4 linked regions of the Stegostoma tigrinum genome follow. The protein of the gene in region 1 purifies or fractionates together with the protein of each later gene. This does not show direct contact. Links are inferred from orthologs where the notes say so. Each region holds a gene or a part of one and is shown in the gene's direction. Other genes may lie near its edges.

What was found.
Region 2: the proteins of max (region 1) and chromobox protein homolog 3-like purify together in Homo sapiens (affinity purification with mass spectrometry; 3 studies listed by BioGRID and IntAct, with this or other methods). This does not show direct contact. The link is inferred for Stegostoma tigrinum from reciprocal best matches to the Homo sapiens genes MAX and CBX3.
Region 3: the proteins of max (region 1) and lethal(3)malignant brain tumor-like protein 2 purify together in Homo sapiens (affinity purification with mass spectrometry; 6 studies listed by BioGRID and IntAct, with this or other methods). This does not show direct contact. The link is inferred for Stegostoma tigrinum from reciprocal best matches to the Homo sapiens genes MAX and L3MBTL2.
Region 4: the proteins of max (region 1) and sin3aa purify together in Homo sapiens (affinity purification with mass spectrometry; 3 studies listed by BioGRID and IntAct, with this or other methods). This does not show direct contact. The link is inferred for Stegostoma tigrinum from reciprocal best matches to the Homo sapiens genes MAX and SIN3A.

Annotation. Positions count from the first base shown.
Region 1 is NC_081363.1:71,192,946-71,199,964, forward strand, and holds the start of max (protein max), read left to right. Parts: upstream 1-3,998; 5' UTR 3,999-4,206; coding exon 4,207-4,242; intron 4,243-4,521; coding exon 4,522-4,548; intron 4,549-7,019. UniProt on the Homo sapiens protein: Transcription regulator. Forms a sequence-specific DNA-binding protein complex with MYC or MAD which recognizes the core sequence 5'-CAC[GA]TG-3'. The MYC:MAX complex is a transcriptional activator, whereas the MAD:MAX complex is a repressor.
Region 2 is NC_081355.1:56,506,229-56,513,349, forward strand, and holds the start of chromobox protein homolog 3-like, read left to right. Parts: upstream 1-4,099; 5' UTR 4,100-4,228; intron 4,229-4,242; exon of another isoform or gene 4,243-4,401; intron 4,402-4,412; exon of another isoform or gene 4,413-4,724; intron 4,725-5,037; exon of another isoform or gene 5,038-5,058; intron 5,059-5,091; exon of another isoform or gene 5,092-5,444; intron 5,445-5,608; 5' UTR 5,609-5,638; coding exon 5,639-5,690; intron 5,691-7,121. Other genes in the region: heterogeneous nuclear ribonucleoproteins A2/B1-like, read right to left, coding at 3,500-3,505.
Region 3 is NC_081391.1:5,934,446-5,941,420, reverse strand, and holds the start of lethal(3)malignant brain tumor-like protein 2, read left to right. Parts: upstream 1-3,960; 5' UTR 3,961-4,045; intron 4,046-6,975. UniProt on the Homo sapiens protein: Putative Polycomb group (PcG) protein. PcG proteins maintain the transcriptionally repressive state of genes, probably via a modification of chromatin, rendering it heritably changed in its expressibility.
Region 4 is NC_081389.1:4,646,712-4,653,588, forward strand, and holds the start of sin3aa (SIN3 transcription regulator family member Aa), read left to right. Parts: upstream 1-3,865; 5' UTR 3,866-3,907; intron 3,908-4,219; exon of another isoform or gene 4,220-4,323; intron 4,324-4,640; exon of another isoform or gene 4,641-4,787; intron 4,788-5,652; exon of another isoform or gene 5,653-5,950; intron 5,951-6,877. UniProt on the Homo sapiens protein: Acts as a transcriptional repressor. Corepressor for REST. Interacts with MXI1 to repress MYC responsive genes and antagonize MYC oncogenic activities. Also interacts with MXD1-MAX heterodimers to repress transcription by tethering SIN3A to DNA.

The DNA of each region.
Region 1 (7,019 bases):
CACACCCGGCACCTTCCTCTGCAACCGCAAGAAGTGCTACACTTGCCCCCACTCCTCCTCCCTCACCCCTATCCCAGGCCCCAAGATGACCTTCCATATTAAGTAGATGTTCACCTGCACATCTGCCAATGTGGTATATTGTATCCATTGTACCCGGTGTGGCTTCCTCTACATTGGGGAAACCAAGTGGAGTCTTGAGGACTGCTTTGCAGAACACCTCCGCTCGGTTCGCAACAAACAACTGCACCTCCCAGTCGCGAACCATTTTAACTCCCCCTCCCATTCCTCAGACGACATGTCCATCATGGGCCTCCTGCAGTGCCACAATGACGCCACCCGAAAGTTGCAAGAACAGCAACTCATATTCCGCTTGGGAACCCTGCAGTCCAACGGTATCAATGTGGACTTCACAAGCTTCAAAATTTCCCCTTCCCCCACTGCATCACAAAAGCAGCCCAGCTCGTCCCCTTCGCCCACTGCATCACAAAACCAGCCCAGCCTGTCTCCACTTCCCTAACCTGTTCTTCCTCTCACCCATCCCTTCCCTCCCACCTCATGCCGCACCTCCATTTCCTACTTACCACCTCATCCCGCCTCCTTGACCTGTCCGTCTTCCCTGGACTGACCTATCCCCTCCCTACCTCCTCACCACATATCTTCTTTTCTCTCCATCTTCAGTCCGCCTCCCCCCTCTCCCTAATTATTCCAGTTCCCTCTCCCCGTCCCCCTCTCTGATGAAGGGTCTAGGCCTGAAACGTCAGCTTTTGTGCTCCTGAGATGCTGCTTGGCTTGCTGTGTTCATCCAGCTCCACACTTTGTTATCTTTGATGAACTGCACACCATTCAAATGGCCAACAAACATATAACCCATCTTGGTCCTGTTCTTTAACTCTTAAACGGACAACTCACACAGTTCCAAAGATCACTCCAAAACGCTCCTTAAAATGTCACAGTATTAGCATTATTGCTCCCAATTATTCAGAAAGTTCACGCCTTCTACATCAAGCTACATCACACATCAAGTCCCAAAGCCTTAAAGAAGCAGAACGAAATGGATATATTCTCTCCCTGTGGGACAACCTGTGGAGATTGATCCTGAGAGTTTCTAAGGCATGTTCGAGCGATTCGACAAAGACTTGAAGTGAGGGATGTGTGATTTCTGAAGAAGGGTCTAGGCCCGAAGCGTCAGCCTTCCTATTCCTCTGATGCTACTCGGCCTGCTGTGTTCATCCAGCTCTACACCTTAGAACATAGAAAAGTACAGCACAGTACAGGCCCTTTAGCCCACAATGTTGTGGCGTGGAATATTCCTAATCCAAAACTAAAATAGCCTAACCTACATTCCCCTCAATTCACTGCTGTCCATGTGCATGTCCAGCAGTTGCTTAAATGTCACTAATGACTCCGCTTCCAAGACTACCACTGGTAAACTATTCCATGCGCTCACAACTCTCTGGGTGAAGAACCTCCCTCTGACGTCTCCTCTATACCTTCCTCCTAACACCTTAAAACTATGACCCCTCATGGCAGTCAATCCTGCCCTGGGGAAAAGTCTCTGGCTATCGACTCTATCCATGCCTCTCATTACCTTGTACACCTCGATCAGGTCACCTCTCTTCCTCCTTCTCTCCAGAGAGAAAAGTCTGAGCTCAGTCAACCTCTCCTCGTAAGACAAGACCTCCAGTCCAGGCAGCATCCTGGCAAACCTCCTTTGCACCCTCTCCAAAGCCTCCACATCCTTCCTATAATAGGGCGACCAGAACTGGACACAATATTCCAAATGTGGTCTCACCAGGGTTTTGGAGCTGGCAGCTCTTAAACTCGATCCCCCTGTTAATGAAAGCCAAAACACCATATGCTTTCTGAACAACCTTATCCACCTGGGTGGCAACTTTGAGGGAGCTATGCACTTGAACACCAAGATCCCACTGTTCCTCCACACTGCTGAGAATCGTGCCTTTAATTCTATATTCAGCATTTAAGTTCGACCTTCCAAAATGCATCACCTCACATTTATCCAGGTTGAACTCCATCTGCCATTTCTCAGCACAGCTCTGCATTCTGTCAATGTCGCGCTGAAGCCTGCAATAGCCCTCGATACTACTAACGGCACCTCCAACCTTTGTGTCATCAGCAAACATACTAACCCACCTCTCAACCTCCTCATCCAAGTCATTTATAAAAACTACAAAGAGCAGAGGCCCAAGAACAGAGCCCTGTGGGACACCACTCAGCACTGATCTCCTGGCAGAATATTTACCATCTACAACCACTCTCTGCCTCCTGTCAGCCAACCAATTCTGAATCCAGACAGCCAAATCACCCTGTATCCCAGACCTCCTGACTTTATGAATGAGCCTGCTGTGGGGAACCTTACCAAATGCCTTGCTGAAGTCCATGCACACCACATCCACTGCTCGACCCTCGTCAACCTGTCTCATGACTTTCTCCAAGAACTCAAGATTTGTAAGGCATGGCCTGCCCCTCACAAAGCCATGCTGACTCCCTTTAATCACGCTATGCTTTTCCAATAGTCATAAATCCTATCCCTCAGAGTTCTTTCCAAAACCTTGCTGACCACAGACGTAAGACTGACTGGTCTATAATTTCCAGGGATTTCCCTATTCCCTTTCTTGAAAAGAGGAACAACATTTGCCTCCCTCCAATCTTCCGGTACGACTCCCGTGGAGAGTGAGGAAGCAAAGATCTTCGCCAGCAGCTTAGCAACCTCCTTTCTCCCTTCCCGGAGCAACCTAGGATAAATCTGGTCTGGCCCTGGGGACTTATCAATCTTAGTGTTTGCCAAAATTTCCAGCACATCAACTTCCTGTTGTACCAGGAAATGTACCACAATTTACTTTATACTCTTCCTTTCTGTTTTTCACACCAAAGTGTATACTTTGTGTATACATTTAGCCACATTGTAATGCATTTGGCAGTGTTTTGATCACTTAACTTGTTTAAACTTGTTTAACTTGAAGCCTTTTTGCATCTTCTTCACAAATCTTACCAAGCTTTGTGATGTCAGCAAACTTAAAAACATTGTACCTGGCCCTGGGTATTTATGTATATTGCAAATAGCTGACGGTTAAGCACTGATCTTTGTGATAACCTTCTAGCCACTGTCATCTATTTGAGAAAAGACCCATTTACCCTCATTCTATTTCCTGTCTGTCTACCAATCTGGAATCCATGCCAATATATTGACCCATAGCATGTGTTTTAACTTAGCCCACTAACCTCTTATGAGGATCCTTATTAAGTTGTTATCTCAGATTCTCCAGTATCTGCAGTTCCTACTATCTCTGGTGAGGGAGTTGGTCATCAAAGAGCTGGTAACATTGTGACTCAACGAGATAACCTGTAAACTTTAGATATTCTAACATCGTCTCATACGAATTGTTTGTGAAATAAAGTTGTAGATGCAAAGGAATTTGGACATCCACACAATATCGCTTTGTGTGGGTGCTTTCATCTTCACTCTGAGTCCGAAGAAAATTGTTTTGCCCGTTGCCAAGTCAAACATCCTACTCTCTCCACGTACTTTCCCCACTGCCATGTTGCCCTCCTCCTTTCGGCCGCTATAACTCTCAGGAAGAGTCGGCCGGGAAACAGGGAGGGGTGAGGGGAACTACAATTCCCGTCGTGCCCCGCGTCCAAGGGTGGTCGGACGACTTCCGGCCATCTCTCCCATCCAGCTAAGTGGGGAGCTGGATGAACACAGCAGGCCAAGCAGCATCTCAGGAGCTTTTGTGCTCCTGAGATGCTGCTTGGCCTGCTGTGTTCATCCAGCTCCACACTTTGTTATCTTGGATTCTCCAGCATCTGCAGTTCCCATTACCTCTTCCATCCAGCTGACGGGTGGAACTCAGTCGGTGGTGGGGCCGGGGATTATGGGAAAGGTAGTCCAGGCGCCCAGAGCGGATAGTGGACGCCAATTGTGAAAGGTACTACATCCCCCAGCGGCACCAGCCCAGCCGCCCATGCGCAGTGGGGGCGAGGTTGATGTAGGGGAGCCGTGGCCTGTCGGGCGGAGCTGCTCCCGGAGTCACGAGTGATTTTTGCTGTTGGTTTCTCCCTTCACAGTTGTGTGTTTTGTTTTTGTTTTGTGTACGTTCTGACATTAATTTACTATTTCTGTGAAAGTTTAATTTCCGTTTTTGCGATCTCTTTTTTTTTGGGTTTATTTTTAAATTAAAAAAAAGCATGAGCGATAACGATGACATCGAGGTCGAAAGCGACGTAAGTCTCGCCTGGTGCCTTCTATTATTGTTATTTTTGTTTCGAAATTTTGCTTGATTTTTCAGTTTCGTTTGTGTTTCGAAAATAATAATAAAACGTTTTTAACGTGTTGGGAGTTGTTTCCACCTGATTGTGAAAAAAAAATAATTTTTCCCCTTTTTTCTCTGTAGTTACGGATTTTCCCCCTTTTCTCTCTCTCTCTCTCTTTCTGTCGATTTTTTTTGTAAAGCGCCAACTCTCCGGCTGTGTGATCATTTTGTGCACTTGTCTGTTTTTCAGGAAGAACAGCCGAGGTTTCAGACAGCGGTACGTAACGGAGGATTAACATAGACCCCGTCTCGTCGCCTTGATTTTTCTTTAAAAAAAAATAAATCTTATTTATATACTTAAATAATCTTTAAACTTATTTTACCATCCCCTAAACGTAATTTACTTCGTGTAATCAAAGAAAAAACAAATCAAATTAATCTTAAAAGCCTGGATTATTATTTTTAACCTGATAGTTGCTGGGGATGTGGCTTCAAGCTGCTGTCCCAGTATCCTCCCTCTTTTATTTGGATTACCTTTTCAGAATATTATTGCAACCTTTATTTTTAAAGTAAGATGTCCCGAAACTTAACTTTACTGCTGATGTTTGTATATTTTAAAAAAATCGATTCCCGCCCGTCGCCTGAGTCTGGTCAAATGGCCAGCTCAAGGCGTTTAGAGCTTGAGTGATAGATAGTGTCTAGGTTAGAGACATTACAAAAGGCCCAGTAGCCCAGTCGTGCAGAATGCCCTTTAATGTGGTTCCTTAACCCTCGCTGTCTTAGGAATTCTTCTCCTCCATCTCTTGCTTGCCGATTTTCTATCTTCGTTTCACTTTTGGAGATTTTCATTCCTTCCCCTTTCCCTGTGCAATGTTTTCAAAAACAATTCATTTTGCCCACAAGCCTCAGCGCGTCCTATTTACATCCATTCCACTCTTGTACTGAAGCCAAACAAATAGATTCGCTCGAAATCGCTGGCATCTTATCTTTTTTGTTCCAGTATGTTTTTTTTATCCCTCTTCTTTTCCCCTGATTCACCCAATCTTCGCGTTTCGCGTGAAAGTGTGTCCGATCCATCGGAAACCTGCACTAATGGGAGCATTTAACACATTCGTCGTGAGCTGTTTTTCTCCCTCCCTTCCTCTTTTGTAGATGTGTAAACGTGTTTGATACAGCGGCTTCGGACGACCGGCTGCTGAAAGCAATTCTTATTCGTCGTTTTCGAGAAACTTTTTTTTCCCCTCTCTCCGCCTATTAATAACAAAATGTAAATAGTTAAGATACTTGTACGGGTTTTTTTTGGTTGTATGCATAACACAAAATGGACTCCAGGAAGTGTGTGTGTAATCATTGATCAGGTAGAATGATGCCTTTAAAAAGCCAACTGAACACTTAGTTATGTGCCATATTTAAATATTTTAAAAAAATTGAAAGTATAAGTTTTTAGGATCCCGTGAGAAATTTTACTTTTCTTGTGATGAGCAGCCAGGATGCCAAATACTCCACTGGTGGGCTGAAACCCTAATATTTGGTTGACATTCAGATCCTTAGGCCCAGACATTTTTGTTTATTGTCCATTACAGGGCACCTAGAATGTATTGCCTCAATAGGTGACACTTAGATTCCTCTATTTGTCTCCTGTGAAGTAAGCACAGAGCAACAATGGCCCTGAAAGTTGTGGAGGAATCTGTGACCTATTTGACTGACCTCCAACATTTAGTGTTGAGGTGAGACTTTTTAAACAGAATGATGACACAAATATTACCAATTATTACCTTGACCACAATTGAGTTACCTTCTTAATTGAAACCAACATTCAGTAAAGAAAAAAATAGGCACATAGTTCTTGACCTGTGGAAGATAAATGAGGATGAGCCTTACAGATGTTATGAATAACATCACTGAGAATAGAATGATTATTAGGGACTAAATGTATTTAGCAACTTGTTTTTGTGCTTGTAGACTTCCTAGCTGTGCAGGTTTTGGAGGGAAGCACTGCAGGGGCACTAAATCTAATGTATGTGTGTTGCTGTTGGACTGTAAATTAATTGCAGGTGCTCCTCTCACTTTTTTTACATTTGAAATTCAGTAAAATTGCTTTTTTTAATGCAAATCCCAGATGTGTTTATTGGGTAAATTCCTAACTGTTTATTAAGTTCCAATACTTTGAACAAAATCTATCAGAAAAATGCAGTTAACCAGTTTTCCAGTTTGTGGGAGTTTCAGTTGCAACACAGTTTTGTTTGCAAGCCAGATAATTATCTGTTATTTCAGCAAGAAATCTGCAAGCATTGATTGTTGCCCAAAATTTGCAAAAAAAAAAGAGTATTTGGTTTGCCAATGCTTTCTCACAATTGCACTATTCCTAACTGGTCAGGCTAATACATGGCAATAGTCACCTGTGGCTCCAAGCTTTAACTTCCTGTGTAATATGGTAGTTTGGTAAGAAATTAAACTATGGAAATTTTTTGTATAGAATTTGCTCCAATTTTTCGGCACTGTTTTTGAGGTGTTATTCAGTGTGCCTCACCTGATAATGTTAGAGCTGACATTACAAGCAGATGTGCAAAGTTGCCTCAAGATGATTGCGACTGTTTTTTTATCTTGTGGAATGCGGTATATGTCCTTTTCACTAATTATCTAATTTGGTGAGGCACATTCAGGAGTTTGAAGGAAGGAATGTGAAGTCAGACTTGTACTTGGTTATCTGCGGTTATTTTTCCTAAATGATGTGTGTACATGACTTGC
Region 2 (7,121 bases), on another chromosome or scaffold:
AATCTAAGAACACAGACCTCTCCTTCAATTATCTGTGCAGCAAACTGCTTCCTTGACATGCCGTTCTGGATGCATTTTAATTGTCTGAAATCAAAAAGATTCCAGAAGAAGTTGTGAAGCCCAAAGCCAACAATCCTTGGCCCCTGCCAAAAATTCAAGAACCTCACCAACTTATCCACCACACTTCCTATTTAACACCAAACTGAACTTTCATCCTCTATAATACTGGATACTTTCACCTATGTACTGCCCTGCTCCATTCTGATAAGATTCCAGCTTTGACCTCAATACTCCAGGAACATGCATTATTTCTCACACAGTATATAAATGTAACCTGTTACTGTTGATAATCAAGTATATATTTTTTTTTAATTCACACATGGATTAAAATTACATAAACCTGGGTTCCAAGGGATGTTACTGTTATGCCTGTGGGCTATCATACACCACGTTAGCATTAGTGAATTATCCCATTCCGTAAATAGCATACATTTGCCTTCTTCAGAATCATCTTCACCTTTCACATCTGCAGATTGCTGCAAAATGACCCCTCTGCCCAAAATATGAAGGGACCCAATGCTCACACTCTCCCTTTGTCTGCAAGAGCTGCAACACAGCTCCCATCCTTATTCTCAGGGCCACAAATACACTTGCAGCTTAATATGCAGTATCCTCCATAGGACAAGTGCAAAATAGACAAGCTCTTTACAAACATCTATGAAGAAGCATTTGCATTTATGCCACGCTATTCAAGACCACCGGGTCTCCCAAAGTGCCTTAGTCAAAGTTGATAGCCAGAGACTATTTCCCAGGGCAGAAATGGCTAGCACGAGGGGTCATAGTTTTAAGCTGGTTGGTGGAAAGTATAGAGGGGATGTCAGAGGCGGGTTCTTTACACAGAGAGTTGTGAGAGCATGGAATGCGTTGCCAGCAGCAGTTGTGGAAGCAAGGTCATTGGGGTCATTTAAGAGACTGCTGGACATGCATATGGACACAGAAATTTGAGGGTGCATACATGAGGATCAATGGTCGGCACAACATTGTGGGCTGAAGGGCCTGTTCTGTGCTGTACTGTTCTATGTTCTATGTTCTATTTGAAGTGTAGATCCTGTTGTAATGCAGGAAATTTGATAGCCAACTTACAGGCAAAGTTCTCAACATGTGATGACAACCAGATAGAACAGTACAGCACAGAACAGGCCCTTCAGCCCACGATGTCGTGCCGACCATTGATCCTCATGTATGCACCCTCAAATTTCTGTGACCATATGCATGTCCAGCAGTCTCTTAAATGACCCCAATGACCTTGCTTCCACAACTGCTGCTGGCAACGCATTCCACGCTCTCACAACTCTGTGTAAAGAACTTGCGTCTGACATCCCCTCTATACTTTCCTCCAACCAGCTTAAAACTATGACCCTTCGTGTTAGCCATTTCTGCCCTGGGAAATAGTCTCTGGCTATCAACTCTATCTATGCCTCTCGTTATACCTCAATTAGGTCCCCTCTCCTCCTTTTCTCCAATGAAAAAAAGTCCGAGCTCAGTCAACCTCTCTTCATAAGCCCTCCAGTAGAGGCAGCATCCTGGTAAACCTCCTCTGAACACTCTCCAAAGCATCCACATCTTTCCTATAATAGGGCGACCAGAACTGGACGCAGTATTCCAAGTGCAGTCTAACCAAAGTTTTATAGAGCTGCAACAAGATCTCACGACTCTTAAACTGAATCCCCCGTTAATGAAAGCCAAAACACCACATGCTTCCTTAACAACCCTGTCCACTTGGGTGGCCATTTTAAGGGATCTATGTATCTGCACACCAAGATCCCTCTGTTCCTCTACACTGCCAAGAATCCTATCCTTAATCCTGTACTCAGCTTTCAAATTCAACCTTCCAAAATGCATCACCTCACATTTATCCAGGTTGAACTCCATCTGCCACCTCTCAGCCCATCTCTGCATCCTGTCAATGTCCCGCTGCAGCCTACAACAGCCCTCTATACTGTCAACGACACCTCCGACCTTTGTGTCGTCTGCAAACTTGCTGACCCATCCTCCAAGTCATTAATAAGAATTACAAACAGTAGAGACCCAAGGACAGAGCCCTGTGGAACACCACTCACCACTGACTTACAGGCAGAATATTTTCCTTCTACTACCACTCGCTGTCTTCTGTTGGCCAGCCAATTCTGTATCCAGACAGCTAAGTTCCCCTGTATCCCATTCCTCCTTACCTTCTGAATGAGCCTACCATGGGAAACCTTATCAAATGCCTTGCTGAAGTCCATATACACCACATCCACATGTTTGTGATTTTGACAAAGAACGTATATTAACCAGGAGTAATTCTATGGTTGTCTCTCAAGAAAATACCCCACTTTATTTTCAAACATCTGACAGGACAGCCAGCACCTATTTAACATCACATTAAAAAAAGTGGTATCTCTGGCAGGTTAAGACTCCCCGCTGGAGCATCAGCCTGATGTGATGCACACAAGCCCTATAAATAGGACTTAAAGCCAGACCTGGGATTCCAAAGCAGGCATGTAAAATGCAACTCATTAAATACACAAATTTCTACTTTTGGTCTTCTATACAGTTCAATGTAACAAGATTAAGAGAACAGTGTTGTAATTCTACACACCTCAGCCCTCTGGCCACGGGGATTTACAACTTCAGTAGGAACTGCTGCTCATGTAGGGTGAATGTTGTCAGCACTTCTCAGGCATCAGTGAGAAGTGCATCATGGAGGCTTACAGTTGATGCAAAAACCCTCCAAACTACTGTTTTTGCACACCCCCCCCCCCCCAAATCTCCTGCAGTTTATTCTCTCTTGGTAGGTTTTTCTGATGCTTTTTAATCCAATCTATCTCAAGTCATCTTCCCCCAAGACGTTTCTGAAATCACCTTTCCTATACAAAAGAACCAATTTACCCACTTTACCTGTCACCTTCCAGGAAGGCTTTTTAGTCTCTACAATGATTCAGAACTGCATAAAACACTAAGTGCTCATTCTATAATTGCCTTCAGCAACTCCCCTGCAAAGACAAGTGTGTGTGTGCTGAATTTTTTTGGTATTGAAAAGATTCAAACCTTCTAGATGGTATAGTAAACGTAACGCAAATATGGAACGTTTGAGATTACCGTTTATTAAAAAATCGGGTTCAATCCTGAAATGTTAGTGAACATTCAAACTTCTCAAGAAGCAAGACAAGTCTCTCTTTAGATATCAACGGACGAGTTGACATAAAAAAACTGCTGTAAAATATCGAGAAAGACCCGAGAAGCGCAATATCCCCCATATATTTCACCTACACTCGACTCCTGCTTCCCAGTAGCAACGGTAAAGCCCGCAAACAGGCTGCGATTACCCACCATTTTCGGCGCGGCATCCCCATTTGCTTCTATCACCATAGGATCTCAAATCAAACCTTTCAAAATTGTACACTGAAAAAAATACGCTACGCCACCCTCCCCAACCCTCATTTTTTCTATCCCTTACCTCCATCCTGCTCGAAAAAATAATTTTTAAATAAAAATGCTATACTTCAACTCAAGCGCTTCGTAAACAACGCTATATCGATAAAAAATTGCGTTATATCTAAAGAAAAACGAGTAAACAGACAAGCTGTGACGCACAGCCTCCTCGACACAGCCACCACCGTCGCCGCTCAATTTTCTAGAACCTTCTCTCAGTCCTACAAAATGGCCGTTCGTTAGTCACGTGACGCCAAGTTGCCAACGGCAAATTTGGTGACGAAACCGGACGAGGATCGAAAAAGATTTTCCGAAAATAAAAGAAAATTTGTTTATAGTACAGATCTGAAAAATTATTTTTAAAAGAAGTATCACCCTTAATTGAACACACTAATTAAGCCTCAGGGGCTTCTAAGGGAAAAAGTCGAAACAGCTTCGGGTATGACGCAATTTAGAAATCGAATTTTTAAGTATATCGCAGACATTTTTGTTTCGTGGGACATTATCGTTTTTTCAGTCAATATTCGGTTGAATAGTTCAATACAATCTGCCAAAATAATTTCCTAAAAGTGATTCTTGGTCACGTGACGGGCGGGTGGGCTGGCTCCGAAATGATTAGTGTTTCGATAAGGACTGTATTTTTTTTATTTAAAAGATCTAGGTTTGGTTCTGTGCCTCGTAGGCGTGTACTCGTGAATAGTTTATGTTAAGTTATTCGATAAATTTTGGAAAACGGAGGGAGTGCTGGTTGGAGGTGTGCGCAAGCGCGTTGTGTCAGCGCGTGTTTTGGCGGGACCGAGTGAACCTCAGAGAGGGAGAGGGAGAGGGGGAAAAGAGAGAGGAAAAAAAAGTGGAAAAGAAAAATAGAGAGACAGAGGGCGGGCAGTCCGGACAGCCAGCGGAGCACATCAGGACTGAATTGGGCAGGTAGGGCAGGCAGCAGCTAGTGCGCCAGCTAGCCAGCCGATCAGTGCTTCACTCTTACTTCCATCCGCTGACTCGTAGTGAGCGCGGAGTGCGGGCCTGGTAGCACTGCAGAGCCGCTCGAGAGCAATCAACCAACAAGCTGATTTTTTTTTTAAAACTTCCATCTCAATCGAGTCGGGTACACCAAAATTATCTAGGCCCAAACTCCTGGCCAGTGGCGGGAGCGAACGGAAGTCCGTGTAACAATCCAAGGAGGCCGTGGTTCATTTGTTTTGGTCGTGAAGGTTTCTAGGACTTGTGAACTCTCTGCCTGCCCCTGTCGGGTGGGTGGCGAGGTCGGGTTTCAACCTGTAAACTGGGGGGAAATGCACCTTCTTTGATTCATAGACCTAAGAGATTGACATAAACTTTTGTTAACAATTGCCTTGGATTTTATCTTCTGTCGCTGTTCCTGCGCCGGTTATTTATTTAAGGTTGAGGTAATGAGTTAAAAGGTAGTTTAAATGAGACTCCAATTCCTTAATGTGCGGAAGTCTTTGTGTTTTAATACTGTAAATATCGGTGTTTAGTTATCAGTTTGTAACTGGCATTTTTTTGTGATTTAATAGGATCCTTGTATGTGGAAATTCAGGACTTGAACCTTAGCATTCTTACGAAGTGCGCATTCTTTATTTTTCATTATGAAACGATTCTTTGCTACTGTCGCATTTTTTTAGTCTGGTCGTTGTGGTATGAGGAGGGGGTTGGAAACTAGGAAGATGTAAAATGGTGACCTAGTGTTCCTTAATGTTAGATGTTTTATATATGTTAGATAATTTTGAATTCAAAGAGTAAGAGTAGTTTAATGTTCTTGGTTTTTTTTATTGCTGTACTTTAACTTTTTAAAATCTGGCTTAGAAGTTTGTTTTTTTAAAACAATTGGGATTATTAGATAGAAGTCTGTAATTTGAATCAAATGCTACACAAGAGCAAGTAATTACATTGGAATTGGTTTGTATTTTTGCTTTTGGAATGTTTATGTTCATATGACTGATCATGATTAGGTTGGTATAACCTTTGCCATCTTGCACTATGTATCCCTTTTCTATTTAAACGTATTTCTAATTTAAACACATTTTCAAATAGTTACTATCATGTTTACTCCAAAATGTAATGTTTGAAATGCTGACTTTATACATGTGAGCAATTGCTGATTATTCTTTCCTAGGGGCTTGAGTAGGCGGATACAAAGTAGAAGATGACCACGGTTGAAGATTCCTTTTTTTCTCCTATTAGCCTTGTTTCTACTAGTGAGTTAATCCATGTTTACAAATAATAAAAAGAAAATGCATCATGTTATATCCCATTTACAGTATTTAGCCATTTGACCATATTTAAATTAACAAATTAAAATTTGTTCATATACTCCTAGGCCCCAAACAATGAAAATCTGAGTTCCTGTTGTGGTCCCAGGTGTGCCATTCTGACTTCAGAATGAGGTTAACAATTTATCTTGGGACACAGACTTTTCAACACACAATTGACACTCTTCAGCAGATAGTTATTGTGCCACTTGTGATGTTGGAGTTGATTAAAAGAGTTACAAAATGGCAGATTTTTATAATTGTGAATTAAGGATCTGCTGAAATCAAACAAAAAAAAACTTCAAATTCTCATAGTCAGCAGCTGGATAAGGACCCTGCATAGAGCTAGTAAGTGGGGAATATCATGGATGTGTTCAGTGGAGCTAGGAAAAAAATGCTCATTTATATATTAGATTTGTTATTGGAACCTAAATATGCTAAATATCCTTGCAGTAATGTGTCTAACAAAAACATCTTGTGAAATATTTGTCTGAAGTTGCAAGCTTCTGCAAATATGCTCTCCTAACTTCTATCTTGACAGTAAAGCAACTTCTGCAATGTGGTGGTACGTTACAGTTTACTCCATGCTTGGGTTGTTACGATAAAATGCACTCCTGTGTGCATTTTGTAGTTTGGAGGTGTGAATGATAGGCACATGATGGTAGCGGCTCCAAAGTTCTTTCCATTACAGGGCTGACGAGGAGTCTTTCCCATTCTAACTGCTTGTTGGTGTATGCTGCTGGGATTTAAGCAAGTAATGCTGCTAATGTCCCAAAGGACCATAAAGCTGCTCCCTCATTAGAGAAAGGTGACTGATAGGTGACTTTAGCTTGGGTCACTATGTATTCGTGACCTTAACCATTGTGGAAATTGAACGAAGATGGTGTTGTTCTCTATCACATATCAGCCATCCAACCAAGTGAGCTAACATACTCTCTGGAGAAATTTACAGGGTGACATTCAATCTGTTTGGCCATTTTATGATTATTCCTTTCTTAGTCATTTAAGTTCTGGTGGGATCATTGAAGCTAGGATTTCTAGCCTAGAGGCAGAAATGCCACCCATTCCACCATGTTTACCTCCTTTGAAAGCTGTACCTAGTTTTGGACTGAATTCAGCAGTGAAACTCTTCTCCACTTGCCCATTTTACTTTTGTACCGTGAAGTTCTAAACTGTAGTCAAAAAAATGTCATTGTGAATAATGGAAATCTGAAATTTAGATCTGCGTATTTTATAAGTTGTTTGTTTCGCAGCAAGATTACTTTAAATCCCTTCTACCCAAGTATGGCCAATACTAAAAACAAAAGTTTGCTACTGTAATTTCATAAAATGTGAATGATACAATTGAATGATTATACTTGGCTATGGAATCAACTG
Region 3 (6,975 bases), on another chromosome or scaffold:
TAAAAATCTGGTTCATTGAGAAGGAAGATTAATCTGCTGTCTTTATCTCATCAACCTATGTATGGTTCCAGGACCTCAGATATGTCATGGACATCTCCTCTGGAGTGATCGAGCAAGCCTCTGAGTTTGTAGGTTATTAAGAAAGGGCAACAAATGCTGATCTTGTGTGAAACACTCACACCCCATAAACGATTAAAATAGAACCCCACCATTTCCCACACAATTAAATTAAAGGAAGATGGTCGTAGTTGTTGGAGGGCAATCTTTTCCAACTCCAGGATGTCTCTGCAGGAGTTCCTCAGGGTGGTGTCCTAGGCCCAATCACCTCCAGCTGCTTCATCGATGACTTTCCCTCCATTGCAAAGTCAGAAGTGGGATGTTTGCCGATGATTGCATGACGTTCGGCACCATTCACGAGTTCTCAGAGACTGAAGCAATCCACATCCAAGTGTGGCATGATGTCAACAAGATCTAGGTTTGAGTTGTTAAAAGGCAAGCGAGGTCTGTGTCACACAAGTGTAAGGCAATGACCATTTTCAACAAGAGAGACTCCAACTATCTCCCTTTGACATTCAACACCACTGTCAACGTCCTTCGGGTTACCATTGACTTTTAACTGAACCGAAACAGGCATAAAAATTACCGTAACTCCCGCACATCCCAGATGTCCAAGTTTTTCGAGGACTGCAACTTTCCCCTCACAGTGGTCGAGAACGTCCTTGACAGTGTCTCCGGCAACACATCCTCACACCCCGCCCCCGCCACAACCGCCCAAAGAGGATCCCCCTCGTTCTCACATACCACCCTACCAACCTCCGGATACAACGCATCATCCTCCGCCATCTACAATCCGACCCCACCACCCGAGACATTTTTCCATCCCCACCCTTGTGTGCTTTCCAGAGAGACCACTCTCTCCATGACTCCCTTGTTCGCTCCACACTGCCCTCCAACCCCAGCACACCCGGCACCTTCCCCTGCAACTGCAGGAAATGCTACACTTGCCCCCACACCTCCTCCCTCACCCCTATCCCAGGCCCCAAGATGACTTTTCATATTAAGCAGAGGTTCACCTGCACATCTGCCAATGTGGTATACTGTATCCATTGTACCCGGTGTGGCTTCCACTACATTGGGGAAACCAAGCAGAGGCTTGGGGACCGCTTTGCAGAACACCTCCGCTCGGTTCTCAATAAACAACTGCCCTCCCAATCGCGAACCATTTCAACTCCCCCTCCCATTCTTTAGATGATGTGTCCATCATGGGCCTCCTGCAGTGCCACAATAATGCCACCTGAAGGTTGCAGGAATAGCAACTCATATTCCGCTTGGGAACCCTGCAGCCCAATGGAATCAATGTGGACTTCACCAGTTTCAAAATCTCCCCTTCCCCCACCGCATCCCAAAACCAGCCCAGCTCTTCCCCTCCACCCACTGCATCCCAAAACCAGTCCAACCTGTCTCTGCCTGCCTAACCTGTTCTTCCTCTCACCCATCCCATCCTCCCAACCCAAGCCGCACCTCCATCTCCTACCTACTAACCTCATCCCACCTCCTTGACCTGTCCGTCCTCCTTGGACTGACCTATCCCCTCCCTACCTCCCCACCTATACTCTCCTCTCCACCTATCTTCTTTTCTCTCCATCTTCAGTCCGCCTCCCCCTCTCTCCCTATTTATTCCAGAACCCTCACCCCATCCCCCTCTCTGATGATGGGTCTAGGCCCGAAACGTCAGCTTTTGTGCTCCTGAGATGCTGCTTGGCCTGCTGTGTTCATCCAGCTTCACACTTTATTATCTTGGATTCTCCAGCATCTGCAGTTCCCATTATCACTGTAACTATAAGAGCCAACCAAGGACAGGGAATCATGCAGTGAGTGACTCCCCAAAGTCTGCCCACCATCTGCAAGGGATAAGTTAGCAATGTTATGGAATGCTGTCCGCTTGGCTTCCAACTGGACAAGAACTTATGAATTAGGTGCAGGAGCAGGCCATTCAGCCCCTCGAGCCTGAATGTGATTTGCTAAGATTTATGGCTGATCTGACTGTGACCGCAATTCCACTTTTCTCCCTGCCCCTGACAAAGTCTGACTGCCAGGTTGTTTATAGTCCTCTGTCTGAAATGTATTCAGCAATCGGGCAACCATGAAACTCAACAACATCAAGGATAAAGGAGCCTACTTGATTGGCACCCTAGCCACCACCTTCAGCAATCATTCCTTTCACCACTGAAACTCAGTGGCAGCAGTGTGTGCCATCTACAAGATGCACTGCAGCAACTTGCCCTTTACTAGGGTGGCCAACTCTCAGGAAAGGGATAGAGGACACATTCACATCAGGGAACAATATGCCTGGAGTTGGGGTTTGTTGGAGGTGTTGGGGGGGTTGGGTGGTGTAAGTTGCTGATGTTGAGGGTTGGTAAGGGAAGGGCAGTTGTAGGGGATGGTGCTGAGTTAGTAAGTGCTGATGTGTAATCAGACATGTTGGGTGGGCTCTTGCAGACTGTCCTTACAAGCCAAGCCAACTCTTATGCCTTGGATTTGTGTCGTCATCCTGGACACCTGCTGAACACAAATTAGCAGCTTTTTAGAGGTCAACCATCTCAGCCAAAATAAATCACTGCAGGGCCCTTGACTTGGATTGATACCACTGTTCCTTGTTGCTAGGTCAAATTTCTGCAATTCTGTACATAATTTGGCTGATATTGGGCTTCAACTTCACTCTCCAATCCACACCCCAGAGACCTTGTTCTGTATTGTGGGTGTATCTGCATCACCTGGACTGCAGAAAGCGACTCACCACCACCTTCTCAAGGGTATATACCACATTGTCTGTACCTTGGGTAGCAAACAGTATCCATAACTGTAGTCATGGTGTTAACATCAAAGCTGAAGTGTTGCTGATGTAACAACAGTTACAGCCTCTGATGCATGTACAGATTTTCCTGTGAGTAAAGAACTCTTGCATGAAAAATACATGGATCCGTGCAGTGTATTATGGGATACTTATAGACATCCCCTAACCCTGACTACACAATAAACTACTGTGAATAATTAATTAAAGAAGAAAGTTATACAGGTCCACTTTCTGCAAATAAATTATGTACTGAGGAAAACTCAACATTGAGTCTAGTCCTGCTTGCTTTTAATCAGTAGGTGCTGCATATCATTCAAAATTATTAAGTTAGATGTTCAGAAGAGACCATTCAGCCTGTTGAGCCTTTTTCAGCATTCATTACAATCATGGCTGATATTGGGCTTCAACTTCACTCTCCAATCCATGCCCCAGAGACCTTGTTCCCTGAGACACCAAAAACTGTTATCCCAGCCTTAAATACATTCAACAATAGTTTCTGCATCCATCTGAGTAGGGAATTCAAAGATTGATAACCGTTCAGTGAATTAATTTCTCTTCATCTCAGTCCTAAATGATTGGCCCCTTAACCTGAGACTGTGCTTCTGTATTTTATTACTTCCAAGACCAGTGTAGACAATCTCAGACTCAACTCAATCGAGCCCTTACAGAATCTTAATCATTTCAATGTGAACTCTGAATGTGTGATTATTCAAATCTTTTTGGCATGAAATTTGCATTGCCATGTATTTTTATGTTGGCTTACTCAAAACACTTGATACTTTAGTTTACAGTGGAAAATGGTTAATTCAAAGCATTGGATAATTGAGTCTGTAGTAGAAAATGGCTATTTCAAAACATTGAATAATTTAGCTTGGAGCAGAAAATGGCTATTTCAGGACATTGGATAATTTAGTTTGGAGTAGAAAAACATTGGATAATTTAATTTGCGGTGGAAAACCTACACTGCCTGCAATTATCTGTGAGGGTTAAAAATTGTCCATTCATGCTGATGGACTACATCTCCCAGAGTGCTCGGTAGCGCCTACCCTGCTATTGTTCTTTCCATTGGTTGACGGGGGTTGCGGCCCCCTCCAATGAGCGAGCACGTTAAAGGAAATGATCCGGCCTGAAATGGCGGCGTTGTGTACCTGAATTCGAACATCAAGTTGCACAAAGAGGAGGAACAAGATTGTGAGTCTTTTGTGTTTTTGTTTGAAAGAAAGTGTGCTGAATTAATTATAAATAAGACAGTTTGTGCAATTTATGAGGTGAGCTTTAGGATGAGTAATGACTAAAAGTCCAGCTGCTTCAGACAAATGAAGCTGTTTTTGAAGTCGATGATACCTCAACCACAAATTGTAGAAACTAGGGTTTGTGTGTTTTTAATGTTTTCCCTTCTTGCCAATTTGTTTCCAGTTAGTAAAATTTGCAAGTAAACAGAGAGACATTGTTGCTAAGGCTGTGATATCCACGTGAGTGATAATCTTGGAGTTTTTTTAAAATGTTGCTAAAAGTCTGTGCTGTCAGGGTTCGATCTACAGGTTCAAGACAAAGCATCCGTCTCGTTACAATGTTATCAGATGCTGCACTGTTTAGTAATCTTAGGTCTGCAGTCCCTGGCGTTTGTTTTCAATGAGTAACAGTGAACTATGATTGCAACACATTGTCTAATTTACCCTGAAACCAATGCAGAAATTGCTGTATAACCCTTCTGAAAAAGGGTTACTGGATTCAGAACTTTGCTGCCTGCTTTCTGCCCCTATGTTGCCAACCCTGTTGAGTTTCTCTGTTTTTTTTTGTTTCAGAATTCCAACATCTGTAGTTTTTTTTTAATAGAATCCCTTCAGTGTGGAAGCAGGCAGTTTGGCTCATCAAGTCCACACTGACCCTCCAAAGAACTTGCTACCTGGACTGACATTCCCAACCCTATGCCTGTAGGTCTGCATATTCCATGGGTAATTTTTAGTATAGTTAATTTGCCTAACCTGCACTACTTTGGACTGTAGGAGGAAACAGGAGCACCCAGAGGAAATCCAAGCAGACATGGAGAGAATGTCCAAACTCCACCCAGTTGCCCAAGGATGGAATTGAACTCTGGTTTCTGGTGCTGTGAGGCAGCAATGCTAGCCATGGTGCTGCCCCCAATGTCAGCTTCCAATTTCTCTCCCACAGAGGCTGCCATGTACGGTCCTTGAGTTGTACAGCATGGAAACAGACCATAAGACATAGGAGTTGAAGTAAGGCCATTTGGCCCATCGAGTCCACTCCGCCATTTAATCATGGCTGATGGACATTTTAACTCCACTTCCCTGCACTCTCTCTGTGGCCCTTAATTCCTTGCAAGATCAAGAATTTATCAGTTTCTGTCTTGAAGATGTTTAACATCCCGGCTTCCACTGCGCTCTGTGGCAATGAATTCCATAGGCCCAGCACTCTGGCTGAAGAAATGTCTCCTCATTTCCGTTCTAAATTTACCCCCTCTAATTCTAAGGCTGTGCCTGCGGGTCTTAGTCTCCCTGCCTAATGGAAACAACTTCCCAGCATCCACTCTTTCTAAGCCATGCATTATCTTGTAAGATTCTATTAGATCTCTTCTCAACCTTCTCAACTGTAATGAATACAATCCCAGGATCCTTAGCCGTTCATCATACGTTAAACCTACCATTCCAGGGATTATCCGTGTGAATCTCCACTGGACACACTGCAGCGCCATTATGTCCTTCCTGAAGTGTGGGGCCCAAAATTGGACATGTTATTCTAAATGGGGCCTAACTAGGGCTTTATAAAGTTTCAGAAGCGCATCGCTGCTTTTATATTCCAACCCTGTTGAGATAAGTGACAACATTACATTCGCTTTCTTAATCACAGACTCTACCTGCAAGTTAACCTTTAGAGAATCCTGGACTAACACTCCCAGATCCCTTTGTACTTCAGCTTTATGAATGTTCTCACCATTTAGAAAATAGTCCATGCCTGTATTCTTTTTTCCAAAGTGCAGGACCTCACATTTGCTCACGTTGAATTTCATCAGCCATTTCCTGGACCACACTCAAACACAATGGGCCCTCACCTTACTCAGCAGCCTCCTGTGAGGCACCTGGTCAAAGGCTTTTTGAAAGTCTAGATAGATAACATCCACTGGGTTTCCCTGGTCTAACCTACTTGTTACCTCTTCAAAGAATTCTAACAGGTTTGTCAGGCACGACCTCCCCTTACTGAATCCATGTTGACTTGTTCTAATCTGACCCGGCACTTCCAAGAATTTAGAAATCTCATCCTTAATGACGGATTCTAGAATTTTACCAACGACTGACGTGAGGCTAATTGGCCTACAATTTTCTATCTTTTGCCTTGATCCTTTCTTTAACAAGGGGGTTACAATGATTTTCCAATGACTCCAGTGACTTTTGAAAGATCATAACCAAAGCCTCCGCTATTTTCTCAGCCACCTCCCTCAGACTCTAGGATGTAGCCCATCAGAGCCAAGAGATTTATCAATTTTTAGACCTTTTAGCTTTTCTAGCACTCTCTCTTTTGTAATGCCTACCATACTCAACTCTGCCCCCCCGACTCTCCTTAATTGTTGGCACACTACTCGTGTCTTTCACTGTGAATACTGACACAAAGTACTTAAGTTCTTCAGCTATTTCCTTATCTCCCATCACTAGCCTTCCAGCATCAGTCTGGAGCGGCCCAATGTCTACTTTTGCTTCTTGTTTGTTTCTTATGTATTGAAAGAAACTTTTACTATCATTTCTAATATTACTGGCTAGCCTACCTTCATATTTGATCCTCTCCTTCTTTATTGCTCTCTTTGTTATCCTCTGTTTGTTTTTGTAGCCTTCCCAATCTTCTGATTTCCCAGTGCTCTTGGCCACTTTATAGGCTGTCTCTTTTACTTTGATACATTTCCTGACTTCCTTTTGTCAGCCATGACTGTCTAATCCTACCCCAGATAATCTTTCTTTTCTTTGGGGTGAACCTCTGTACTGTGTCCTCAATTACACCCAGAAACTCATGCCATTGTTGCGCTACTGTCTTCCCTGCTAGGCTCTGCTTCCAGTCGATTTTTGTCAATTCTTCTCTCATGCCCCTGTAATTACCTTTATTTAACTGTAATA
Region 4 (6,877 bases), on another chromosome or scaffold:
CATGAATAGATTCAAGAACAGCTTCTTCCCCACTGTTACTGGATTTCTAAATGGACCTCTCAAAGTTTACATTTAATGCTCACTATCTGTGCACCTTCTCCGCACCCATAACGTTGTATTCTTCATTGTGTTCTATTGCACTTTGTATGGTATGAGCTGCCTGTACTATACAGAAAACAAAACTTTTCACTGTACCTATGTGACAATAATAAATCAACTCAAATCAAAATAGTACACATATACGCCAAACCATCCTCAAAGGGCATTCAAGAACTAGATGGATTTTTAACAATCATAGATGGTAGTTTCATGGTCACTCTTAGTGAGACTGGCTTTGTTCTAGCAAAGAGATGGGATTTAAACCTGCATCCCAAATGCATTAACTGTGTTCTTCAAACTCAAATTAGTCCAGGCATATTGCCACTGGACCCATTTCTCCCCTAAGTGAGTTGGTACTTTTAATTTATTAAAATATCCCAAAGTGCTGGATAGGAGAGTTATAAGAAAATTGACATTGAGCTATATCAGACCAGATGGCCCAAAGCTTGGTCTGTGCAAGGCCCTAAGGATTATCTTATGAGGAGACCCAAATAGAAAGGTTTAAGGAGAAAATCCAAGAGCTTAGATTCCAGACTACAAATTGTAAACCAGAAATGCTTGGAGGCCAGGATTAGATAAACACATATCTCGGGGAGTTTCAGAATTAGAGATGGGATGAAGGAGAGGTGATGGCGGGATTAAGAAACAAGGGCATGAATTTTAAAACCAAAACGCAACGTTATGGGTAAATGGAACTTGGTGAGTTATTTATGTCGCTGATGATTATTAACTATTGTAGTTAATTTTCTTTATTCAATTTCATTTTTGATGCAGGCCTTTGGATCACATCGTTCTCCCCACAACCTGTATTTCATTGTTGTTTCCCAAACAAGTCATAGTGGCTGCATTGAGCTCATTTATTCACTCTGGTCCTGTGATCCTGCTCACTCCTGATCATTAAAACAGATCACAAGTGGTCTGCCCCAATTGATCCCATTCGCAGCATTGGACTGAGACACTGTAATGAACCCATTAGCTTGGATTAGACTATAAGACCATAAAATGTAGCCGAATCCAAGTAGTTTGGGACTGTGGGGCTGAGGAGAAAAGGTTGGAGGTTACAAAGATAGGAAAGATGGGAGAATAACACGGGCTTTTGTGGAATTAGTAATTGTTTCCAATCATGCCATAGGCTGCAGAGAACATGTCCGCGAGGAATTTGGTAACACCCAGACAATTCTGTTTTTAAAACAGAATATTCCTTAGAGAATTATTTACTTTTTCTTCCGGTTTATTTTAATTTTATACTGAATTTTTACATTTTTAGTTGGAAATACAGTTCAACTTGTCAGTCGAAGCAACCACTTGGACTCATTCAAAAGCTTTACTTACTTAGATTTACATTTACACTCCACTGTTAAGATAATGAAGCATGCTAAAGTGCTTTTATACATGCAAGGCACATGTAACTTTGAAATACAGAACTTCCTTGTCTGATTACTAGTTTCCAACCATCTCCACGGCAACAACAATCATGTATATTTATACAGCATCTTTAAAAATAATTAAACATTATAAAATTATTAAACTAAATACGACACTGTGTCACATATTACGTCAGGTGGCCAAAAGCTTGGTCAAAGAGCCGATTTTGAGAAGTGTCTTTTTAAATTTATTTACAATAAATTTACCACAAATTTATTGAGGATGTCACTGGCAAGACCAACATTTTGTTGACCAATCCTATTTTCCCTTTAACTGCTTGGCCTGCTGGGCCATTTCAGAGGGCAGTTGAATCAACCCTTGGGACTGGAGTCACATGCACACCAGAGCAGGTAAGGACAGCAGTTTCCTTCCCTAAAGGACATTTGTGAACCCTATATGTTTGTACAACAATGGTAGTTTGATGGCCACTGTTACTGAAAATAACATGTTCCAAATTTACTCATTGACATTAAATTCCACCAGCTCCCATGATGGGATTTTAAACCCATGTCCCTGTTGGCCAAGGCTCCTGGCTTACTTGCCCCATGATGTTTGTTCTATGTTCCCACTACAACCCTTAAAAGTGGAAAACAAGATATGGAAGTGTGCTTCTTTAGAGAGGGCATTCCAGAGCTTTTGGTCCAGGAAGCTGAAGCTGGGGCCTCCAATAGTGGAGAAATTAACATTAGGAATGTTTGGGATTGCATAACCAGATTGTTTCGCCTGAAAAGTGGAATGTGATTCATCTATGGAGATGATTTGTATGACTGGGAAGAGGAAGACATTGCATTTTTGCACCTCGTGTTAAGACCAATAATTGCCTGTAGTCCAGGTCAGCTGAAACATGAGCTGAGTCAGGGAAAATCCTGCTGCACACACTCCAACCCTGAGTAGATTGTGCATAGTGACATTCCTATATACCAAAGTAGGCTGGAAATGAGACATGGGCACGAGGACAGATTAGTAGTTAAAGTGTGACAGCCAGTGCACTCAGGTGTAGTAGTCTGTAGGATTCCTGTCTCTAGGATTACATACTAACATATGTGCCCAAAATCCAGAGTAGAAATGGGCCATTTTCCAAGGTGACTTAAGCGGGTAACACTTCAGCTTCAGATGGGCATGGTTACCAGTCTCACTCCAGAAACTGGACCTCACACTGACATTCAAAAGCAGTACTGAGGGAGTGCTGCACCATCAGGGGTAGCAATAAATCAGGGCTCAGTCTGTGCTTTGAGTTGGATGGCAGTGATCCAATCACTGTTTCAAAGAACAATGATGTTCTCCAATATCTTATGAAATAGAAGCAAGAGCAGGCCATTTGGCCCTTCAAGCCTCCTCCACTAGTCAAATAAAACCATGGCTGACTTGATTGTGACCTCAACTCCAATCCTAATCCTGTGCTTTCTCAACTCCCTTGTCTATCAAAGGTCTGCCTAACACACTGACAGAAAATCCCACACACTATTGACTCTCAAGAAATTCCTCCTCATCTGCCTTAAACAGGAGACTCCTTATTTTGAAACTGTGTCCCCTAGTTCTCAATGACTCTATGAGAGAAAACATATCTGCAGAATTTTATATTTCAGTAAAATCAGATTCTTCCAAATTCAAATGTGTATCGGCCCAAAAGACCCACCATTCTTGGAAGACTAATGCTGTCATGCCCGGAAGCAGTCAAGCAAACTTTCTCTGAATTGCCTCCAATGCATGTATTCCCCAGATATTCGAGATGAAAACTTTTTTGCTCGGCCTGCTGTGTTCATCCAGCTCTACACCTTGTTATCACAGCACAGCAGACTATTTTTGTCTTTCTATCTCTGTAACATATGTATTGTGGAAAACGCTCATTTGTCCTGCATTGGTAGAATTTTGTCTACTTCAAAGGCACAGCATATGTGTCCGAATCAAACGACTATGGGTTCGACCGAGTCTCATTGCAGTAGGTACGGGCCAGTTATTGACTGCAGCACCGACATGAATGGGTCAGGGGCTCACTTAGCAGCCGATGGGAGCATGCTGTGCGCAAATTAGAGACGGGGCTTCCTAACACGACCACAAGAGGCCGTGAACATTGTGTTCGGTGGAGAGGCGGATTTTGAGATTTCTTCTTGAAATTGACATCTGCAATGCATCGGAAGGAAGAAGCTCCCGAATGCGGCCAGGCAGGGTCCCCGCCCCCGATGAGTAGGGAGGGCTGAGGGTGATGGGATGAAGGAAACTTCAGTCTCTCGGAGTCAGACAGTTGTTGGCGGGGTTGAGTTTAAAGCAGTGACGCTCTATCAGTCCCCTCCCTCCCCGGGGCCTATGTTAATGAGAGGGGGTGTATCCATTCTCGGTTTGCCTGTGAGAGCGGAGGGGAGGGAGAGCAGCTGGGAGTTTGTGGGTGAGCGAACCCTCCGATTCTCTGTGTTGTTTGTAGATGCTTTCCTTTTCTGAATGGTTTTTCTTCTGTTTTGCACAAGGGGTACGGGCTGGAGGAAGGAAAGAGTCCGTTCACTTGGAGGGGGGTGAAGAGGGGAGTGTGTGTGTGTGTGTGTGTGTGTGTGTGTGTGTGTGAGTGTGAGTGAGAGAGAGAATGTGTGTGCGCTTAGGAAGGGGGTGGGGGAAGAGCTCCCCGGCCTTGGCGAGTGCTTCCTGAGCCTGGGGAAGGGCTGGGTTTGGGGCGGCTGCTGCTGCGAGCCAGGGGCAACGTTCGACTTCACCCGCTATCCCCCTGGGGAAGGGGGAGAAAAACACACCGTGCTCCTGAAGCCACCCCCGCCCCCCCAAACCGGGGCTGCCTCTTCTCGGGGAGGGAAGGTGAGGAGAGGGCGGTGTTGCTCTCACTCTCTCTGGCCATCAGCTTACTATTTATAATCTGCTCGGTGGGGAGTAGCGGCACGGAGAGAGCGGGGCTGCCCGCTCTCGTGTAGCTGGAGAGGGGAGCGAGGCGGAAGGGAAGCTGCGCAGTCTACGGGCCATTTTGTTGTGTCGGATTCTCGGAGCCGCTTTGTGGGGAGGGGAGGGGACGGGAGGGACTTGATCGGATTAGGCTCCACCTCCCCTTGTGCCTTCAGACACCCCCACACTCCTCCCGTGCTGGAGAGCCGCTTCCATCATTCTCCCCGCGCATACCCTCTCCACTCCCTCACCCCCAGCGGGAGTGTCTCCGATCCCGGAATGTGTAACAAAAGCCTGTCGCAACTTTCTGGGTCGTGGAACCAGCCTTCCACCGGCCTCAGCTCCCGGGGACGGACAATGAGGAAGAGAAGCGGCGGGGAGAGGTGACCGGAGGGGGGGGGGGGCGGCGGGGGTGGTGTATGATGTTTCATTCGTTCCCGGCCCCATACTGCCGCCACCACCACCTTCCCCGACTGTGTGCACCCTGGCAGTTAAACACCACTACCACCACCACCACCTTCTCCTTGGGTAGCGAATCTCTTCCTACCCGCCCCCACTGCCATGGGTTAGCACATCCACAGGCAGCAACCAGTCGTCGTTGTCGTCGTCCTCCTCCTCCTCCCCGCGACTCCGGGGTCTGCGGCCTCCTGGCTCGCTCCCACACAGTAAACACGGTATAGCCCCGCCCCCAGATCACTGGCCCCGCCTCGTACTTCCTATTGGTAACTACCGACTGTCGCCGCCTTCCCATTCCTGATTGGTTGGTACTATAAGGAGCTGATTGGCTCCTGCCCCCCTCGGATGCGTCACAATGGAGGTTCACATAACGGGGCGGGGATTCCCTCACGCGCGGAATGGGATTGTAACAAAGAGACAGGGAATTCCCACCCGGAATTACTCTCTCCGGTGGAGAGCCCAACGGTGGAGTCACCCTCGTCGGGGTTTGGGGGGCAGAGAAGGAAGGAAGCCAGGAGGAATCCTGCTTGCTATAACCCTCACCTGAATCAGTCAACCCTGGGGAACTGGGGCAGGAGTCCTGCCCGGAGTCCCCCTCTCCCGCGGGGAAAGACAAACGAGGACTTTCCCCCTGGAATTAATCTCACCCTGGAGGAAGGGGTGGGGTGGAGAAAGAGAGACCTGCCCGCTGTCACACTCTCGCGGGGAAGAGACGGATCCACCCAGCGTCACCCGGGGATATTGGATTTCCTCCTGCTCGGAGTCACTCACTGGGTTTCCCGCTCCTCTGAAACTTAAATGACAGCAATGAATCCAGTTCCTTCCAGCTTCCAACCTGAAACCTTCAGGAAAGAAAGAGGAAGCCGAATGCCCTAGTTGAGTCACCCCGGGGAGCCACTGCTGTATTTTGGGTACCGAACTCCTAAACGCGAAGGGCCGCGTGGATTCGGCGAATTTTGAAGCGTCCTGGTTCTTATCACAAATTCAAGAGTGAAAACACTACCCACCAATGAAAAGCTCCAGGGCCAGTGTTGACTGTATCGAGTTCGGGGCGAGCAAGGGGTGGAGCCCAGACTTTATTGACCCAATTGTAATCATCCTTCAATCTTATTTATACTCTGGTGTTCTGTGCCCCTCCAAAAACAGTGAATTCAGCGATCTTACGGTGTTTATCGAACTTTCGACCTACAGGCGATGAATAATATTTACTATTAGTGGTAGCAGAGAGGTTGAACAGTTAGAAGATTCGAAGCTGCTGAGCCGTCTAGGTCTCCTGAGAAAGGAAATCGACTTTTACTTTTTTTAAAAAAAGTGCACGAACACCGCACTGGGCCCGACTCCATATTTTAAACTCAAAAAATACCCTCCCGCTTGCTAACTTGGTTCTTCATTCCCTAAGGGCTTGAATCATAAATTTGTAAACACGTTAACAAATCAAAACACAAATAGCCTTACATAAAGAAGGTCTGGCAGTCTCCATGGAGAAACAACGTAAAGGTTTCGAGTCCAATCTGACGCTGCTTGAGAAGTGACCTTGTTTGGGAATTGCAAGCTAGGGGGAGGGCACCTTGCAAAGTTCAATGCTGTTGAAGCTACTGTCTTGTTTTAATCGTTCATAATTTCTCGAATGCTATTCGTTAAGTTCGGGGACGTGGGCCGCTTTCGCACACAACCAACTGCTTAATATTAAAATATTTTAAAATACGAGATTAGATTTAAGAAACTGTTCGGACTCAAAGTATGTATTCCTAGTTTGGTTGGAAGGGTTTTTGAACCTGCTTCTTGGCAACATAAATAATAGTAATACGGTTCTGTTGGTTTATCGTTCCTCGACTTACTCACTAGACGTTAACTTTTGCAGTGAGCAAGTGCCCCTTCGGTGAATTTAATATTTTAAAATTGACTTTTAATTAAATATGCAGCTTTTGAGCAATCTGGGTAAAGAAAGGATTTAGGTCAGCACTGATTCTCTCAATCTCATGCCACTAAAACAAAAACTGACTTGAAAGCACAGTCA